5 linked regions of the Callithrix jacchus genome follow. The protein of the gene in region 3 purifies or fractionates together with the protein of the main gene of each other region. This does not show direct contact. Links are inferred from orthologs where the notes say so. Each region holds a gene or a part of one and is shown on either strand. Other genes may lie near its edges. The genes, in order: STX6, NAPA, SNAP23, VAMP8 and VAMP2.

Region 1 (3,512 bases), on a different chromosome or scaffold from region 3:
TAAAGGTATAAACCACCATGCCTGGCTGAGCTTGGTTCTCTTGAAGCAGTCATGCTGTGAAGATTGAAACTCTTTATGCATGCAATCATTAAATATTTAAACATAATAAACCACAGGACAAGCTCTGGCTTACCCCGCTTGTCATTAAGCCATGAGACCCCATGGCTGGCAAAGGAACTAAGGTGTGTTTATTTTTTCCCACTGCCCCATCCTAAGCCTGGGCCCCTTGGGGTACCTGCTGCTGTGCCTGCTGCTCCTCAATGAAATGAGAATTGGCTCGCTGGAGCTCTCTGTCCAGGCGCCCGTATTTATCTGTTGTTCCAGTGCTCCAGTTCTGGCTGCCACTGTCTCCCAGCAGTGCCTGTGTGAGCAGGACAACCGGAGGAGTCAGGAGAAACAAACGGTTACTATCTCTGAACAAGTGAAGCATCGAGAGTGATATAAAGGGTTTTCACATTTCTTATCATCTATTTTCCCCTGGGCCAGGCTTTTATCTAGTGGTGTAGTCTGGTGCCTGTGTGGTACAATTTAAGGAATTCCAGAAGGGCCCTCTCTGTGTTCAAGCTCTCCCAACAGGCCTCACAATGGGCTTTGTCCCCTTAAAGTGCAAATAAATGCCTGCTAAATCAGCAAACGCCCATCTAGATACTGTGTTATAACTGAAAAGCACTCAATCTTTTGTCAAAGAGCTCTTCCTGGCACCTGTGGAACTTCAGCAACCCATAGGTTCCAGTCAACCTGATTCCAAAGATCTAAAGTACTTTTTTAAGAAAAGTGTGACCCAGGGAAGTTTTGGGGTTTTTGGTGGGGGGAAAAGGAGAGGTCCCTCAAACTACAAGCAGGTAAGCCATAGTCCTTCACACACAAAAGGCTTAAGAACCATCAATGTCTGTAAAGTTTAACCCATGAATAGAATCCAGGGTCCTTCAGGCTTTCCAGATGACAACTGGGGTTCCTTCACCAGGCAGGTGTGACCACAAGGAATCCCTGACCTTGGCAACCTAGGCAAGGGCTGCCCTAAAGTCAGTCTTCCACCACGGCTCCCAGACAACAGGGCTGGGTTTCTGAAGTACGAATTCAGGGAAGTCTGCAGCCATAAATGGGTAAGGTTGGGTATGTCTTCCTCACATGAAGAGGCCAGGCCGGAATGTGAGAGCTCAGTCTCCACAGTTGGTTCTGACCAGATTCCCACAAGCCTTTCTGACAGGTCAAAGTAACTGCTCACACCAGCCGTGCGCCAAGAGCCAGAAGACGCCAGCAACTAAGACTTTTTTTCTTGTTGAGTTGCCATTTCCTACTAGGTAATTAAAAAAAAAATCTCTGGCACTATTAAAAGCCTGACTGTTTACTTGGTTCTATCTGAAACCCTTCTAACAGCCTCATGATCTTCCTTCATAGTGGCACTGACTTATTCCAGACTGCAAGGGGTGAGCTCCATCAAATGGCCAGACTTCAGGGACAATCAGGGCAGCTCGGGATGCAGTGTGCTATGTTCTGAGGTTGTTATTAGCAGAGTTTCTAAGAGGCTCAGTTATTAGAAGCTCTTCTTACAAGAGCTTCCAGTGGCCCAGGGCAGTCCAGTCAAGAGGCTAGATGGTGACTGTCTCTGGTGTAAAGCAGATCCAAGGGTTTTTGTGGGTGGCTCTGCCCTGACCTGGTCTTAGGGCTGTCAACACTGAAAAGATCCTGCTCATTCTGATCCAGACTCTAAGGACCTCTATGGAAGACATGAGGAACTAGTGACAATTTTTTTAGGGTCAGAAAAAGGCTGTAATGCCTAAGGACAGTGAACTGGGACATCACCAGGGCCTTATGTGCTCCTGAGGTCACAGGGCTATTTTGCCTACATTTTCCATGGTCTACACTTAGGCAGAGCTAAGTATAGGGCAAATCATCCACATTTTATTGTAAAGGTGCTTAAAGTTCATTGGTCTGACCCCAGAGGTCTAATAGGAAAGAGATTGAGAGAGGAGCCAAGCGCTGGGAGATGCACCTGTGCGTGGGTGCCAAAGCAGGGTTGGTGGAGGGAGCAGCACAATACCTGGTGCCTGGCATGACACAGCAAGGCCCAGGCCTGCAGGAGGCTTAGAAAGCCCTGGCCTTGCCATTCCTTAAACATTTGCAACTTGACATTTCGCTCATGGCCTAAAACCAAATTCCAGGCCACACTTGGACAGGCAATACATATGCCCATGTTATCCACATTAGCCCATACTAATGTGGATAGTAGCCTATACTATCTAGAGAATAAAACATTCAAGTTAGAGTGGCAGCATAGGTGTTACCAACTTCACTGCCACAACTACTTCAGGTACTTCCACTTCCTATAAGGTCAAGTGCAAATGAGAAGAGAACTCCAAAACTAGCCAACTTGAGGCCATTCACTAGCTTCTTTCAAGAGAGGGAGCCAGACGGAATGAACCAGCTAGTGGCTCTTCCTAGCTGTACTGATCAAAAAGAAAGCAAAGGAGGCAAATAAGATTAAAAAGCCAAAAACAAAACAATGACTTGAAAAATGGAATGCAAGAAAAGCAAACAGAAAAATTAAGTGAGGTGATATTTATAGAACCCTCCCCCTTCTTCAAGCTTTCATATTTGTTTTCAAAATGAAGTGGCTTGACAAACACCCACAGGTATAAAGTAAGGATTTATGTTATAAAGTACTGATTGCTAGTTAAGTAAAAATAGCAAGATTTCTCAAGAGCCTACTATACGGACAATTCGTAACTTTCTGGAATCATAATTCATTTAAAACAAACTATCATTTTTCATGATACTATTTACTGTTTACTCCTAAGAAAAATGGATATCCACAGAATTTTAAAAAACTACTTCCATAAAAAAATCACCTAACAGTTTAGCAACAGGCAAAAAACATTCTATCCCACCAAAAAAGTCTAAATCAAATTTCAATCTAAATTAAAGTCCAAATTCTAGATGACCATTCTACATTTTTTTAAAGAACTATATTTTAACAATTAGAAAGCAGTTTCTATAAATATGCCAAAGTATGTAATTTTAAAAAACTACTTAAAGAGAAATTTAAGACACAAGTTTAAGGTTCCTCTAATGTCTTTACATCAAATGTCAATCCATAGATGTCTATTGTGTTCCATGGGTAGGCAATGTAGTAACTACTAGAGAGCTCAAAAAAAAAACCCAACAACTAAAAACCAAGACACAGATCTCTCCTCACTCTCAAGGGGCCTGGGGCCCAGCAGAGAGAAAGACAGTAAGTAATTATAGCCCTTAAAAGAGCCTAGCACACAGAACGTGCTCAACAGGTGCAGAATAAACACATGAAAACAGTAAAAGTACTCTGACAAGTGCCATAGTAAGGGTAGGCAAAAGGTGCTATGGGAGCCCACAGGAAAGAATCAGAAGGTGAGAGAGGGGAGGGAAACGCTGACAGGGTACAGGGACAGCTGCCTGGACTGTCACAAAACCTCCCATGGTCACACCAGGGCCTGCATGCAGAGGTCTTCCTCTTGATTACATGATCCATGGATGGT
Region 2 (3,512 bases), on a different chromosome or scaffold from region 3:
GCATGTCATGTGTGGTGTGTGTGTGGGGTGCATGTCATGTGTGGTGTGTGTGTGGGGTGCATGTCATGTGTGGTGTGTGTGTGGGGTGCATGTCATGTGTGGTGTGCATGTCATGTGTGGTGTGTGTGTGTGGTGTGCATGTCATGTGTGGTGTGTGTGTGGGGTGCATGTCATGTGTGGTGTGTGTGGTGTATGTGTGGTGTGCATGTCATGTGTGGTGTGTGTCCACCCAGCCCACCCCGGGCTCTAACACTCCCCAAGTTGTACTTTCTTCATCTGGAAAATGGAGACTCAACTGGCCAAAGAAAACAACACAAAGACACCCTCTGAGAACCACTGGACAAGCCTCAGTGACTGTCCCACGTGAACCCTGGCCACCCGCATCTGGTTTGAGAAGTGGGAGGCTGGAGCACTCAGCACTTACTTTCACCAACTTGCATTCCCGGGAATCAGAGAAAGCTGGGAACAGCTCCTCATACTTCTGCACAGCCAGCTGGACAGCAGGGAGGGAGGAGGGCGAGTCAGTCATGAGAGGGCCCTCAGAGCTGCTGGCCTGGCAGCCGAGAGGACCTGGGGATGGCTGGTGATACTGAGTCAGCGCTGCACGCCCCTCCCCAAGCCTCAGGTGTCACCTGGCTCTGTGCCTGTCAGTACCTCCCCGGAGCTGAGCTCAGCACCATCCTGGCTGCAGAGAGTGGTGGGTGGAGGGGGAAGGTTCCCCAGGCAGGTACCCACTGCCTCCTCCCACCTGGCTCAGCTGGGGCAGCAGGCAAATGAGCACATCCTCCATGCCAGGCCCGGGGCTGGTGCTTCCTGAGGACTCTGAGAGGGTCAAATAATGATGAGCACCCTTTTTAAAGGGAGGAAACAGATCCAGAGGGGCAGTGACGTGCCCAGGGCACGGTGAGACATAGGGTGGGGATGTGAACCTGGTCTGGCAAAGCCCAGGCTGGTGGTCACAGCAGAGCAGGGCTCGGAAGGGCTGTGAGGCAGGGGCTGGGCAGCCAGGGGGACCAGGAAATCCTGGGCTCTGTGCTCCTGCCAGGCAATGGTGGGAAAACTCCAGCCAAGCAAAGTCTAGTGCCAACCCTCTGGCTCCTTCCTGCTGGCCATGCCCTCGACCCACTGCCCTCTCTGGCCCCTTTTGCCAAGTGCCCTGAAAACAGGCGGGCATGTGAGCTCCAGTTAAAGGCATTACAGCGGCAGTCACGAAGCTCTGGAACGTTGAGCTGCAGGTCCCTACGCACATGGCCTCAAACTCTCGTCCCAGCCTCAGCATCTTCACCCATAAAATGAGGTGACAATGGTGCTGACTTTATGGGGTGCAGTGAGGATTCAAACAGTGTACCCACGAAGGAAAGAGCACAGTAAGGCAGGAGCTAGACCCGCAAGAGCCTCCAGGACCAGCGGCAGGTGACGCCAGCACAGAAACACAGCGGTGAGAACCACACTCCTCCTCCAAAGGCCAGCTGGCAGGGGCCAGGCGTGAGGGACGAGCACACCCCCTCTGGCCTGGTGATAGGCACATGGTGGCCTGGCCGGCGCGGGGCGCACTACCTTGGCGTTGAGCATGTCGATGCAGAAATGGCAGAGGGCCGCCTTGAAGAAGTAGTCTTTGGCACTGTACTTGAGGAGGGGGCTGTCCATGGCGCTGGTCCCCACCTGCAGCCATGAAGTAGCACTGTGAGCTCAGGGCAAGCAGCCAGAGGGCCAGGGCCACTGCCAAGCACCGGGAGCCAGCTGGGAGCTGGGTCTGTGTCCTGGGGTGAGGGCCTGTGAACCCAGGACCCTAATGGCAGGGAGCCAGGAACCAGCTTGGGGAGGTCAGTGGCCAGTGCGTGAGCAGCCAAGATCAGGGCATGACGGTGGCTGAGACTGTAGCCAGGTGTCCGTGGGCCTCCCGAGAGCCTGAGACAGTGGGGAGGAGGCAGTCTGGCTGTCAGGACCAACGGGAGGCTGGCACAGCGGTGGGCAGAGGGGTGGCAGGCGGCGGGAACATGAGAGGCGGTGCCCGCCCCTCTCTCCCCCGGGGCCAGCTGCCTGCCTGTTTCTCGGCCATCACCCAGGGCTGTGTGCACACTGCAAGGAGCCCATGTGACACTCCCTCCCGCTCACTGTGGATGAGGACCGTTGTGTCATGGGGTAGGGTGCCCACAGGCACCCCGGGCCCCTTGGCAATTCTTTCCGTTCTCTCTTTGACTCTGTTCTTGGCCAGCCTCACTCTGGATCCCTCCAGGAAACTCTGCATGGGGTGTGGGAGGGGCACAGCCAGGGAGAGGGTGCCAGCATGGCATAGGGTCATAGGTGGAGAACATTCAGCCAGGCTGAGGATGGGGTTGAGGGGATCGGGAGAGGCAGAGGGCGAGCTGGGGGAGGGGTGGTTCCAAAACAAGGTGCTGGTTCCTAGGAGGAGGCACATGTCCTGAGAGCGGGCAGGGTCGCCATCTGTTCCCCACCTGTTCGTAGATGTCAATGGCCTTCTGATACTGCTCCAGCTGCGCGGCGTAGCCAGCCACCTTCAGCAGACACTTGTTGGCTGAGCTGTGTGGGGAGGAGGAGTGAGGGAAGTGGTGGTGGTCCCTGCGGGGAGGGGCAGGCAGGAAGGGGGCTACCTGTTGGACTCCTCGCCTTTGTAGTAGTCTGCGGACTGCTCATAGTGGGCGATGGCCTGGGGAGACACGGGGGCAGGTTTCAGAGCTGAGCAGCGGTGGGAGAGGAGGCCTCATGCAGCTTCTACACCCTCCGCCCTGCCTGCCTGGGACACAGCCAGACCCCTTTACCTGACCTCTGCCGGTCCCCCACCCTCTCTTCTCAGCACTCAGACACCAGAGGAGTCCCCTGGTGGGAAGAAGACAGAGCCGCGCTGGTCCTGGCTGCCAGCCCAGGCAGGGCCCTGCTGCCACTCACCTTCTCAATGTCCACCAGCTCCGTCTCATAGATCTCAGCAATGGAGATGTGGTGCTTGGCCGCAATCGTGAATCGGCCCTAGAGGGAACACGGGAAGGGGCTGCCTGTGCCTGGTGAGCTCTTGCATGCCTGGCCCTGCACCCCTGCTGACCCATGACCCTTCAGGTTCCCACCCCTCAGCCACGCCTTCGAGGAGACATGAAGAAGACACTGAGAGGGGGGGACACGGGTGAGAACGGAGGGCCCCAGCACTCCTGGTTGTGCGTGCTGGGCTGAGCAGGTGACCTTGGGCAAGCCACTCCAGGGCCTCCGCCTAATTCTATCCGACCCACGGGGGCACAGATGGTGTGATACCAGAGAGGATGTGAGCACGAGCACTTGGCTGAGGCCCTGGCCCTGAGGAAGCATCTGATAGAGAGGCCAGAGAGGCAGAAGGACCAGCCCAGAATCACTTGGCAAAAGGCTCTGGAGAAACCAGGATGGGAGGGAGGGCTTGAGACCCCTGCCAAGAGCACCAGCTCTGCCCCCAGGCCAACAGCCACCTGTCAGCCTCCTCCATGCACACCCAGAGCTCCCCAGGGAGGCCTCAGGTTCCAGCCCATGCA
Region 3 (4,274 bases):
AAAGGAAGAGAAGGGATAGTCAGTAGGGAAAGTTCTTGAAAGGGTAAGAATAGCAGCAGTTTCGAGGCAGTTCAAAGCACTGGTGAGAGGAGTGGTTTTGGAAGAAGTGAGGGAGGGAGAAAGAGAGAGAGTGAAGATACTTCCTTCCCCAATTATGAGAGGAAGAATGTGTCTGTTTGTATGTTTAGTAAAAGGAAGTTAAAGTTCTCATTTGATGACCTGTTTTCTCTGTGAGGTTGGAGATAGGATCATCTGACAGAAAAGGAGATAGTATTGGGAGTTTAAAGGAAAGTTGAGAAGATTTGGAATATTGTAGAAAGTAATACAAGAAATGGATAGAAAAACATTGTAGGACTGGTAAGCAGTACTGAGGGCCTTTTTAATATGGGCAAAAATGAACTCACCATTTTCTCCCTTCCTGTGTAGCTTTCTCAAGCAGTAGTCACTTTTCAAGGGCAGAGGTGGAGAAAATGCACAGTTGAGTTCATTTAGGGTTGGGATGGTCATTGATAATAATTCCATGGTTCTCAACCAGGGACACTTTTGTCCTCCAGAGGATATTTAGCAATGTCTGTGATAACAGGGAAATGGGGGGTGGATACTACTGGCATCTTGTCCAGTGATGCTGCTAAACATACACACACACACACACATACACACACACACACACAGAGAGAGAGAGAGAGAGAGAGAGAGAGACAGACAGAGAGAGAAAGAGAGACAGGGTCTTGCTCAGACTGGAGGGCAGTGGTGTGATGTTGGCTCACTGCAACCTCTACCTCTGCAGCTCAGATCCTCCCACCTCAGCCTCCCAAGTAGCTGGGAGTACAGGTGTGTACTACCACACCCGGCTAACTTTCATATTTTTTGTAGAGATGAGGTTTCACCATGTCACTTATGCTGGTCTCAAACTCCTGGACTCAAGCGATCTGTCTGCCTTGACCTCCCAAAGTTCTAGGATTACATATGTGAGCTAGTGCTCCCGATCTGCTGCTAAACATCTTATAATGCACATAATACCCTTGACAACAAAAAAGTATATGTTCCAAAAATGTCAGTAATCCCAAAGTTGACAAACACTAAAGTAGCTTACCTTAATAATCACCAATATCTGACTGTGGTCTTCTAAAGGCTTTTCCTTGAACGATGGGCCAGAGTTTACAGGGCAAAATAGTTCTTCCATTGCATGCCTTTGAAGGAGAGTAAAATGAGCAGCATACCATAGCCCTTGAGTGTTTCAAGGACTTGTGATGTCACAAACACAGAACTGGAAGTTTCCTGAACCTCTAGAAGCAAATCTGGATATACATAGAGATGAATGTAACTGCTCACTTTTATTTGAGGCATTGACGGTCTGGTTAAACAGAGATGTTATAATCTCAATAATATAAGAGGAACACTTCACATAATGATCAACCTTAATGTCATTTCCTTTATCTGATTAGTCTCAGTCACTAAAATTACGGCTCTGAGGGAATGGGTATGAGCTAAGTTTAATAATAAATATAGGCGGCTGGGCACAGTGGCTCACATCTGTAATCCCAGGACTTTGGGAGGCCGGGGCGGGCAGATCACTTGAGGTCAGGAATTTGAGACCAGCCTGGCCAACATGGCGAAACCCCATCTCTACTAAAAATACAAAAATTATCTGGACATGGTGGTGTATGTCTGTAATTCCAGCTACTTGAGAGGCTGAGGCAGGAGAACTGCTTGAACCCGGAAGGCAGAGGTTGCAGAGAACCAAGATAGTGCCACTGCACTCCAGCCTGGATGACAGAGTGAGACTTCGTCTCAGTAATAATAATAAATGTAGGCTGGGCGCAGTGGGTGACACCTGTAATCCAGCACTTTGGAAGGCTGTTCACTTGAGCCCAGGAGTTTGAGACTAGCCTGGGCAAGATGGTGAAACCCGTTTCTACCTAAAAAAAAAAAAATTATAAATACCTTAGGCATGAGTAAGAATAAAACCAGTTATAATGGAATGTCTGCTCTGTGATAGGCAGCATTCATGGATAAAACACTTGACCTATGTTATTTAATTTTAGCAACACCCTGTGAGATAACATTGTCTTAATTTTAGGGTTTTTTGTTTGTTTTTTTTTTTTTGAGACCGAGTCATGATCTGTTGCCAGGCTAGAGTGCAGTGACGTCATTTCGGCTCACTGCAACCTCTGCCTCCCGGGTTCAAGCGATTCTTCTGCCTCAGCCTCCTGAGTAGCTGGGACTACAGGCGCCCGCTACCATACCAGGCTATTTTTTTTTTTTTTTTTTTAAGTAGAGAAGGGGTTTCACCATGTTGGCCAAGATGGTCTCCATCTCCTGACCCACCCACCTCGGCCTCCCAAAGTGTTGAGATTACAGGCATGAGCCACCGTGACTGGCCCAACATTATCCTAATTTTAACTCAAGATCTTGAGGTTCCAAGAAAAATTTTAATTTACCCAAAGTCGTAAATTATTAGTAGCTAGTCCGAGATCTGAAACTCGGGCAGGTCTGTCCTAAAAGCTCTTGCACCTCCCATTAAATTTTAGTAAATTTTACAAGGAAGGAGTTATTTCAAATTTTAGCCTGAACAGTTGCCACTGACTAAAGGAAATGGCGGGACACCAAGGAAGGAGCTAGAGGGAGGCCGGGAAAGAACAAGGAGAAATAAAGAAAATGAAAAAGGGACCAGGGAGACTGTTCATAGCGTCCAATGCTGCGGACCGACTCTCCCGCAAGCTGACCTGCCTTTGTTCTTCCTCCATTCTTTTTGAGAAAAACCTCTTCCTGTGTGTCCGTTGTTCACTCTCTTGTGTTCAAATAAAGCTAGATTATTGAGAACGGCTGCAGGCAAAGGAAAAAAAAGAGCGTGACGGCCTCGCTGTGCGCCTGCGCGCTGGCGGCGGCTGTGGCAGGGCCCGGCGGGGAGCGGGTCCGGAGCAGGCTCCCGGACCCAAAACTGAAGGGGGGAGTCTGGGGCGTCAGGGAGCTCCCTCGCCTGTCTCTCGGCGGCCTGATGGAGTAAGAGGGGTTGGCTGTGAATGTGAGTATCGATGGGCCGGCCTGCGTTGAGCGTATTGGAGCCCAAGGGTCCTGGTGGTCTGTCCCTTAGGGAGATTGTGTGGCTGCAAGACGCGGCCCGCTTTCTGCTCCGGCAGGCTGCGGCGCAGGGGTAACCCAGCGGTCCACTCTCCCAGAGCCGGCGCGGGATTACAGGCAGGCGGTGCTGCTGGCTTCGGGGTACGGATTTTCGTGGGGGCGTTCCAGCTCTGCTCCCAGCCCCAGAAGGAAATGTGGCTCCAAAGCCTTGACCTTTAGGGGAAGCCGCTGACCTTCGGTCCTCAGTTGGGCAGGGAGTCCAAAAGACCCTGGTGCTTAAAGCCGGTAGTCTCAGGTCCCGCGACACATTTCAACCTCTCGCGACTGACAACCTTCGTTCCTTTTTCTCCTTTCCTTTCTCTCCGTGTGTGATGTATCTTAATAATGGCAACTAATTATGGAGCGGTTACTGTGTTCATTTAATATTTAGTCAGAATCTCGGTTTATAGTTATGGAGAGGAAACGCTTTACACCCTCCTCCCATTTCAGTTTGTTGTTTAATCATCTTTGAGAGTAAGATTTGTTGAGAAGTTCGAGATTCGCTTTTAGCAACTTGAGACTGCCATTCTAGGTCAGGGAAGTTCTCTTGCTTAGCAAACAAGTGCTGTATCCACCGTAATGGTTTATATCCAGCCTATTCAAACCACAAATAACTTTTGAGTACTTACTAAGAGTTTAGTACTGTTGTAAATCCCATGGGAAACCTTAAAATTTGCTTTAAGGGCCGGGCGCGGTGACTCATGCCTGCGATCTTTGGGAGGCCTAGGCGGGTGGATCACGAGGTCAAGGAGTTCAAGACCAGCCTGACCAAGACGGTGAAACCCCGTCTGTACTAAAAATACAAAAAATTAGCCGGGCTTGGTGGTGGGCGCCTGTAATCCCAGGACTCTGGAGGCTGAGGCAGAGAATCGGTTGAGCCCCAGGAAGCGGAGGTTGCAGTGAGCCGAGACCGCGCCACTGTACTCCCTCCTGGGCGAGAGAGAGGCTCAATCTCAAAAAAAAATTTTTTTTTTTTTTGCTTTAAGGCCCGTTCTCAAGTTTGGTCGTGAATGAAATAAGGGACGACAGTATTCAGATGCAACTAGAATTTATTTAGTATCTACTACACAGTTGCCAATTACATTTACGTGTGTCATAAAAATATTAATGAGATATTGTAATGGAAAGTAGGTTTCTGCAGCATTTCAAATGAG
Region 4 (4,165 bases), on a different chromosome or scaffold from region 3:
GGGAGATATTATTCTAGCCTTCATCTAGCAGGGGACCCTGGGATCAAAGCATTTTACTGCTCTTTCCAGCTTGTTTTTAAAGCCAACTTACCAAGATGCCAGCAATTTCTCACCCTTTGCCTAATAGCTCCTAGAGAAGGCTAGAGGCCATAGGGGAGTTTCCTCAGAGCCAATATTTCTGCCCTGGGAAGGTCAGATGCAAATGATTGTCTTGGGCAGGCTTCAAAGGGAAATTCAGTTTCCCAGGAGAGAATCCTAAGAATGCAGGGGCTGACTGAGCTATTGGTCTCAGAACATGCCTCTATGGGCGAGCTGCCACCTCAAGCCCCAGTCATGGGATCCATTCCCTGGGATCCCTAACAATCTGTGGATCAGAGCAGATTCAGAAGTAGAGACTGCTCATATCAGCTCCCAAACCTGGTGAAAAGCAACAGAAATGGCTAACTTCTGGCCCTCGTGTTTATTTTGCCCCACCAAAAAGAAATTCCCTTCCTCCCTCTTTTCCTCCAACCCCCAGTGGGTTTCCCGTCCTCACTGTGGCTTCCAGATCCTCTGTCTTGTTGCGGAGATGCTCCAAGTTTTCCCCTCGGGCCAGGATCCGCTCCACATTCTGGGTCATGATATTCTTAACTCCCTCCACCTCACTCTGCAGGTTCCTTACGCGATCATTTCCTCCACCTTCACTGCCTTCCTCCTGCACAGCAACATGGGGTTAATTAGAACAAGTGCTGGGGGAACTGGAGAATTGGCCTCAGAGGTCTGGGGAGTGTAAGGCCTCAGGCAGACTTTAGCTTTTTGTAAAATGCTTGAAATGTTTACAAAGAGAATGTTTTCATGTATTGTGTAATAAAAAATAAATGCATTTGTAAGCCTCAGAAGGTGAGATGTGATGCTAAACAGACTGGATCAAACTCCTTTTTGGGCCCCTGACAAGGAAAAGCAGCACATCACTAAATCCCTCCCCACTGCTTCCTTGCTCCCTAAAGAGGGCCATAGAATACAGCAGAGCCGCATTGCATCTCACAGTGTTCCCCGCCAGGGCAGAGCCCACCACTATTTACAATGCCTGGAGCCACCCCCCCTTTCCTGATTTCTCTGGATCCTCATTGAAAGTGTCTGTGCTAGGTGTGGTGGCTTGGCCTGTAATCCCAGCACTTTGGGAGGATGGGGCGTGTGGATCATGAGGTCAGGAGTTTGAGACCAGCCTGGCCAACATGGTGAAACCCCATATCTACTAAAAATACAAGAAATAGGCCGGGCGTGGTGGCTCACACCTATAATCCCAGCACTTTGGGAGGCCAAGGCGTGTGGTTCACAAGGTCAAGAGATCGAGACCATCCTGGTCAACAAGATGAAACCCCGTCTCTACTAAAACTACAAAAATTAGCTGGGCATGGTGGTGCGTGCCTGTAGTCCCAGCTACTCGGAAGGCTGAGGCAGGAGAATTGCGTGAACCCAGAAGGCGGAGGTTGCGGTGAGCTGAGATCGTGCCATTGCATTCCAGTCTGGGTAACAACAGTGAAACTCTGTCTCAAAAAAAAAAAAAAAAAAAAAAAAAAATATATATATATATATATATATATATATACACATACACATACACACACACACACATATATATATATATACACACACGCATATATATAATAGCTGGGTATAGTAGCAGGTATCTGTAACCCCAGCTACTCGGAGGCTGAGACAGGAGAGTCGCTTGAACCAAAAAGGTGGAGGTTGCCGCGAGCCAAGATTATGCCATTATACTCCAGCCTCGGCAACAGAGCCAGACTCGAGCCAAAAAAAAAAAAGAAAGTGTCTGTGCTGGCCAGCAAAATATCCTCACCTAGCCCAACCTATCTGTCCCTCCAAGACAGCTGCTGGAGCCCTGCTCTGGCTACAATGCCATTGCTGTGACCCAGAGCAACAGGCAACCAAGTCCCCCAGAAGGCGCCAGGAACCGTTGAGCCACACACTTCTGCTTTCCCCACCACTGGGCACCACGTGCAGGTACCAAGGAACTGCCTGCTTATGCAGATGCTAAATAAAAACACCCATCTTGGCATTGGGGGAAATGGAGGACTAGTCCTCCCTGGCTGATGTCTCATCTGGGAAGCTTCATGACCAAGTGTTTGAACAAGGAGAGAAAAATACTATTAAGCTCCTCCCTCCTTGACCTCCAAAAACAAGCCAGTGGCACGGGTCAGAACTGGATTATCACAGAGAACCAATTTCTGGTTCTTTATAAACGCTTAGTTCTCTTCTTCACGTTAATGGAGAAAGGACACCCGAAGGACTCCGTGGACACACAAATCCCTTGTGTTTCTGTGTGGGAATAAAGTGAAAGGCCCGAGACAGCTCCTGCCACTGGGTTGGAATCTGAACTGGGAACTGCTGGGGCGCTGCCTTGTAGCGTCACAACACCCGCCTCGGGGCTCCCTGGAGGAGGAAGGCGTAACAACTATTTGCCTGGAATTCGGAGCCCCGTCGGCACCAGCACCGAAGCCCAGCTCGTGACGAGCACAGAGGTCAGGGGAGGGAGGGAGGGAAAAGGAGTAGGAACACCTCCCAGGACGGCTCAGAGCTATTTGCAGCCAAGTTGTCAAAGAGGAGAGGCCACAGGCAGCACTGGCCCAGCCCTCTAACTTTGCCACCAACTCTCCTCCCCCATCACAGTTAACCCCCGGTCCCGAGCCCCCTCTGGCCCCTCTTTAAAACAGCCCTTTCCTCGTTCCCGGTTCTCTCACCATATCTCAGAGCAGCTCAGGCCGGTCAGCAGGTGAATTCGCCTCGTCGGCTTCCTCCTAGGGTGGCCCTCGGCTCACTTCCTGCTTGCTCCAACTTTCAGCCTGCCCCCGCCCACCTCGCATCTCGAGTCGCTCCAGCCACACCTAACTCAGGTTTCCCCAGGTAGGCGGGCACTCTTCGCAGTCTCCCAGTGGCTTCCCAAACAAGAGCTTAAGCTTAAAGCAAAAGGGCTCTCAGATGCCAAAGGTCTTCTAACTTGTCAGGAATTAGAAAAGAAAGATCAAGCAGCCCTCCTAGGTTTTCTGAGGCTGGACCTCCTGATCTAGAAAGAGCAGCCATATCTTTTTTTTTTTTTTTAATAGAGACGAGGTCTCATTGTGTTGCCCAGGCTGGTCTCAAACTTCTGGGCTCAGGCGATCCTCCCACCTTAACCTCCAAAGTCCTAGGAGCCATGACGCCCCACTAGCGATTTCCTTTTTATATCTTGAATATCTGACTCCAGTTTCTAGACACCGAGATCAACCATGCCAGGCCTAGTTCACAGGGAAATAGAATGCAGTTATGAAAATTTCTTGCTGGACAGCTTTCGTTCTCAGGTCCTTGGGTGGCAGAAAGCACTAAAACCCCTGAAGTCTGGAATACTGTGATCCTGGGCTCTGATGTCAGAAAGCTCTGGGTTATTAGTTGCAGGCCCCTGAGTGAAACTTTTTACCTCTGCGGAGTTGGCAGGTGTTGATGCTTAGCTAAGATGGTGCTGGTAAGAAGCAAAAAGAGGTCTGGGTGCGGTGGCTCACGCCTGTAATCCCAGCACTTTGGGAGGCCGAGGCGGGCAGATCATGAGGTCAGGAGATTGAAGCCACCCTGGCCAACATGGTGAAACCCCGTATCTACTAAAAATGCAAAAATTAGCCAGGCATGGTGGCACAAGCCTGTAATCCCAGCTACTCGGGAGGCTGAAGCAGGAGAATCGCTTGAACCAAGGAGGTGGAGGTTGCAGTGAGTCGAGATAGTGCCATTGCACTCCAGCCTGTGCAACAAGAGCAAGACTCCGTCTCAAAAAAAAAGAAGCAAAAAGATAGCATGTGCAGTGCAATGCCTCTAGCACAGTGTCCGTAATGATGGCTCACCAACAATCCCCTTCTTCCCTTCCAGAGTTCAGCAAATCTGCATTTCCCTTCAGGGGACTCTGTGGAGGTCATTTATCCCAGTCAGTGATCAGAGGACTGGCCCAGTGGACCACAGCAGGGGGCCCAAGGCAAAGGATTTTTCCACTAACCTGGCTCTAGGCCAGAGAAAATCTGTTCTTCCTTGACAGTGTTTATCAAGACGGAAGAACAATAACAGGGACATTCAGAAGGGAACGAACATTCTTGACCCATTCCAGAAGAAATCAGTTCCAAGGAGGAAATGTCAGCTTCCCCAA
Region 5 (4,038 bases), on a different chromosome or scaffold from region 3:
TGTCGTGCAAACAAAAATGTAATACAAGTATTAATGGGGACTAACTCCTCAGTGAAAAAAAGAAACACAGGTTAAGAGAAGAGTGATAGAACAAAAAGAAATGGAAAGAGACTGCAGTATGCAATGATACACTAATTAACATGCTGGACGCTCCCAAAGACCTTGGGATTCTTAGGACCAAGTGGGGCCAGTCTCAGAGCCTCCTAATGGATGCAAAAAAGATGCACCTAAGGAAGCCCGGACAGGTGCTTTTCATTTTTTTTTTTTGAGGGCGGAGCACAGGGAGCATGAAGGGGAGAGGGAGGAGGAAAGGAAGGCCAGGGTGGGAGGATGGATCAGCTAAATCTGAGGGAAGGAGGAGGAGAGGAGAGGGACTATTGCATAGCAGATGCAAATGAAGGGACTTGGGGCTAGTCAGGAAGAAAGGGAAAGGAAAGGAAGGCAAGAGAGAGGAGGTGAAGGGAACCTCAGGAAGGGGTGTTAAGGACAACCGGAAAAATCTTCTAGTAATAAAACTACAAACAGACCAAATATATATAATATTATATATGTATAAATAACAGCTGGCTATTTACAGGGGGACACACAGACACACACGGATCCAGGGGAGGGGGACTGAAAGATATGGCTGAGAGGTGGAGGAACGGCTGAGGGTGGGGGGAGAGGCCCTTCTCTAGGCAGGGCAGACTCCTCGGGGATTTAAGTGCTGAAGTAAACTGTGGAGAGAGAGGAAGAAGATAAGGAAGGAGGAGAGGGGAGGAGGAGAGAAAGAGAGAGAGAGAGAAAAAAAGAAAGCAGTGTGTCAGGCCTGGCCCTGCTCCAATCCTCCCCACTCCCCAGCGGGTTGACACCCCTTCCCCTCTCTTGGCCTCAGTTTCTCCATCTACAAAGCAGGGGGCTAGACAGGTAGGTTCTGAGGTCCCTTCAACTCCATGGTATGGCCATGAGGCCACAGATGCTAATCCTCTGAGCCTCTGAGACCACAAGTTCTCAAATCATGGGGTGGTTGTCTTCCTGGTCATGTCTCAAGCCCCTGGGCCTTTCCTTTCTCCCACTCATCAGTTTCAGGGTTCTTGGACTGGGCTCTTAGGCCCAAAGGGTCCTTAATGGATACATCACCTTTCCTTTTTCCAAATGTTAACAAAAACTGTCCAGAACCAGGCAAACTGCAAGCTAAATAACATCAAAGTTTTTGGCTCTAGATGAATCAGAATTGCCATTAGCAGCTACGACTGTTTTTGGCTGAAGAGTAAAACTAGGTTAATGACCTTTAAAACCCAGAATCTACTGGGGGAACCTCCCCGGCCATTCCCACCCTACTCACCTATGATGATGATGAGGATGATGGCGCAAATCACTCCCAAGATGATCATCATCTGGGGATGAGAGGGAAGGATCAGTGAGACGAATCATGATACTCCATTCACCTGCCAGTCCCCTATCTGTCCCCACCCTTACCTTGAGGTTTTTCCACCAATACTTGCGCTTGAGCTTGGCTGCACTTGTTTCAAACTGGGAGGCCCCTGCCTGGAGCGCGTCTGCACGGTCATCCAGCTCAGATAGCTTCTGGTCTCGCTCCAGGACCTTGTCCACGTTCACCCTCATGATGTCCACCACCTGGGAGAGGGGCCCACGAGGCAGGGGGGTGTGCCAAGGCCCACCTCAGTGAGGGCAATCCTCAAACATGTGCCCACCATGCCATGCATGGAACATGCACCCTGATGCGCCAGGTTAACATGCCAAGGACACACAGAACATGCCTAGCACACCTGGGGACATGCAAGGAGCACACATCAGGGGCATGCTGCTGACATCTCAGATGTCACAGCAACACCCTCTCTCTATGGAGCCCCAGGCGCTCTGTCCATCACCAGAGCACACCTGCCCAGGCTGGCACACCCCAGGCTAGCAAAGCTGATTAACATCCCTAGTGCCCTTCCAGGTGCGTGCTGACAGGGAGACAGGGATGGGGCATGGTATCTTTGTCCGCAAACCCACAGGTGTGAAATGTCATCACTCCCAAACCAACATGGGCCCCTACACCTATATGCCAATCCCCAGGGTCTTTCCTGCTGCCTTTGACTTCCCCCACACTCACCTCATCCACCTGGGCCTGGGTCTGCTGCAGTCTCCTGTTACTAGTGAGGTTTGGAGGGGGCGCAGGGGGGCCACCCTCCCCAGCTGGGGCGGCAGGGGGGGCCGTGGCAGCAGTAGCAGACCTGAGGAGCAGGGACGGATTAAGATCCAGGGCCTGGAGCCTCCCGGCCCCACAGCCAGGGCTCCGCCCATCCACCTGTCCATCCTCGTCCCTCCAGTCCTCCTTTTCGGGAGGAAGGCCACCCGATGAAAGCCCTGGTCTCGGTCCAGCCCCGCCACCAATGGCTGCGTGACCTTGAGCGAGCCCCCCTTCCCCCGGCCTCAGTTTCCCCGCCTGTCAAATGAGGGCGACCTCATAGATGCGATAGGGGTCGACCCGAAAAGACAGGCGGCCGCGGCGACAGGGGCGGGGCGGGGCAGGAAGACACCGAGTCAGCTCCTTCCCGCGGCCGTCGCCCGAGCCGGCCAGCCCGGGACGCGGGGCTCCTCGGCCGCCTGCGCGCAGTCACCGGCTTGGGCCTGGCCCCGGGTCGTGGGGAACGCGGGGGACGCGGACGAGACCCCGGGCACTCCCCGAGGCCGGTTGCCAAGGGCGGCGGCCGGCGCGGGGAAGCGCGGCGGGGGTGGCGGGCAGCCGACTCACATGGCGGGGGCAGCGGGCGGAGGACTTGGCAGCGGCAGTGATGGCGGCAGCGGCTCGCGCTGGCTCCGACTGGCGCTGGCTGCCCGGGACGGGAAGATGGCGGCCGCGCGTCACCCGCATCCGGGCACTGCAGGCGGGGGCGGGGCTCCGCGGGAGACGCATCGGGAGCGGGGCCGGGGGCGGGGCGCTGCCGTGTTGGGGTCGTGCCGGGCGGGGCCGCGGGCCTGGAGCCCCAGCGCCGGGGTAGCTCCTTCACCACTCGAGGGACCCCAAGGTGGACTGTTGCGGCCTCCCCAAACCCACCGCCACCCGCCTCTGACCACAGCCTCCCACAGCCGCCCCCAAACTCTCCTTAGTAAGGACACACTGCAGCCCGACCCCACACCTAAGCCCCAGACCACCCCCCGCAATCGTGATCCCAGTAAACCAGCCAGCACCCCACACAGCCCAAGGTCTCTCCCCGCGCCCAGGCCCCAGCACCGAGCGACCCGCCTTCAGCACTTGGAATGGGCTGGGGTTGGGAAATCAGAGGGAGCTAGTGCAGATGCTGGGGCAATGCCAAGAGCGGGGACCCTGCTGCTCGGGTGGTGGGGAGTGAGGGAGGTTAGTCCCACCCCATCACCCCGCTCGCTGGTGGATGTCTCAGAGGAAGCCTGGGGTCCCTAGCCACTGGGTAGGAGGGTAGGAAGAAAAGATGAGGCAGGCTCTTCCCGCCCAAACTAGTCCGGGGAGCGGGGGACGGGGAGTGTCTACAGTAGGTGAGGAGGGGGCTGCCCCGCCTCACGACTGAAGTTCAGACTAGGGGTACTTAGTTGCTGGAGCAGGGCCGACGGAGGTGGGCTGAGGACCCCAAGGAGGAGGAAACAAGGCTGCCGGGAATGGTGGGTTGGTGGGGGCTGCTTCACGTGGTAGGTTGCTGGCTGGCCAAGACCTAGCTTTGCCCCAGGCTTGGGTCAGCGACCCCGACTGCAGGCGAGGGCTCAGGCTTTGGTCCCAGGCACGGGACCTGGGCCAAACAAAAACAAAAAAAGCCTTTTTCTCTCATTTTTTTCTCTTTAATAATAGGCACAGGGAGAACAGGTTACAGGGTGCTACTTTACATGCGTATTCACCTCGCAGGTGTGACCTTGGACAGTTGCCCTCCTCTCTCTGGACCCCAAATATATTGCACATGTAGGTACTAAATTCCTATTTTTTAAATGGCTTGATGTGGATATCGTGGTAGGAGATCACCTACCGCTGATCCATCTGGGGCTGGTCTCCATTAGGACCTCTAGGTGCACCCAGCAGCTGTACAC

The links.
Region 1: the proteins of SNAP23 (region 3) and STX6 purify together in Homo sapiens (affinity purification with mass spectrometry; 3 studies listed by BioGRID and IntAct, with this or other methods). This does not show direct contact. The link is inferred for Callithrix jacchus from reciprocal best matches to the Homo sapiens genes SNAP23 and STX6.
Region 2: the proteins of SNAP23 (region 3) and NAPA purify together in Homo sapiens (affinity purification with mass spectrometry; 4 studies listed by BioGRID and IntAct, with this or other methods). This does not show direct contact. The link is inferred for Callithrix jacchus from reciprocal best matches to the Homo sapiens genes SNAP23 and NAPA.
Region 4: the proteins of SNAP23 (region 3) and VAMP8 purify together in Homo sapiens (affinity purification with western blotting; 3 studies listed by BioGRID and IntAct, with this or other methods). This does not show direct contact. The link is inferred for Callithrix jacchus from reciprocal best matches to the Homo sapiens genes SNAP23 and VAMP8.
Region 5: the proteins of SNAP23 (region 3) and VAMP2 purify together in Homo sapiens (affinity purification with western blotting; 4 studies listed by BioGRID and IntAct, with this or other methods). This does not show direct contact. The link is inferred for Callithrix jacchus from reciprocal best matches to the Homo sapiens genes SNAP23 and VAMP2.

Annotation. Positions count from the first base shown.
Region 1 is NC_133519.1:39,281,131-39,284,642, forward strand, and holds part of STX6 (syntaxin-6), read right to left. Parts: intron 362-3,512; coding exon 236-361; intron 1-235. UniProt on the Homo sapiens protein: SNARE promoting movement of transport vesicles to target membranes. Targets endosomes to the trans-Golgi network, and may therefore function in retrograde trafficking.
Region 2 is NC_133523.1:41,431,568-41,435,079, forward strand, and holds part of NAPA (alpha-soluble NSF attachment protein), read right to left. Parts: intron 2,986-3,512; coding exon 2,908-2,985; intron 2,669-2,907; coding exon 2,613-2,668; intron 2,542-2,612; coding exon 2,457-2,541; intron 1,663-2,456; coding exon 1,558-1,662; intron 494-1,557; coding exon 425-493; intron 1-424. UniProt on the Homo sapiens protein: Required for vesicular transport between the endoplasmic reticulum and the Golgi apparatus. Together with GNA12 promotes CDH5 localization to plasma membrane.
Region 3 is NC_133509.1:30,176,121-30,180,394, reverse strand, and holds the start of SNAP23 (synaptosomal-associated protein 23), read right to left. Parts: upstream 2,811-4,274; 5' UTR 2,727-2,810; intron 1,299-2,726; exon of another isoform or gene 1,191-1,298; 5' UTR 1,094-1,190; intron 572-1,093; exon of another isoform or gene 446-571; 5' UTR 405-445; intron 1-404. UniProt on the Homo sapiens protein: Essential component of the high affinity receptor for the general membrane fusion machinery and an important regulator of transport vesicle docking and fusion.
Region 4 is NC_133515.1:27,446,704-27,450,868, forward strand, and holds the start of VAMP8 (vesicle-associated membrane protein 8), read right to left. Parts: upstream 2,806-4,165; 5' UTR 2,745-2,805; coding exon 2,742-2,744; intron 695-2,741; coding exon 536-694; intron 1-535. UniProt on the Homo sapiens protein: SNAREs, soluble N-ethylmaleimide-sensitive factor-attachment protein receptors, are essential proteins for fusion of cellular membranes.
Region 5 is NC_133506.1:74,637,170-74,641,207, forward strand, and holds the start of VAMP2 (vesicle-associated membrane protein 2), read right to left. Parts: upstream 2,812-4,038; 5' UTR 2,743-2,811; coding exon 2,741-2,742; intron 2,220-2,740; coding exon 2,099-2,219; intron 1,618-2,098; coding exon 1,459-1,617; intron 1,377-1,458; coding exon 1,325-1,376; intron 717-1,324; coding exon 700-716; 3' UTR 1-699. UniProt on the Homo sapiens protein: Involved in the targeting and/or fusion of transport vesicles to their target membrane. Major SNARE protein of synaptic vesicles which mediates fusion of synaptic vesicles to release neurotransmitters.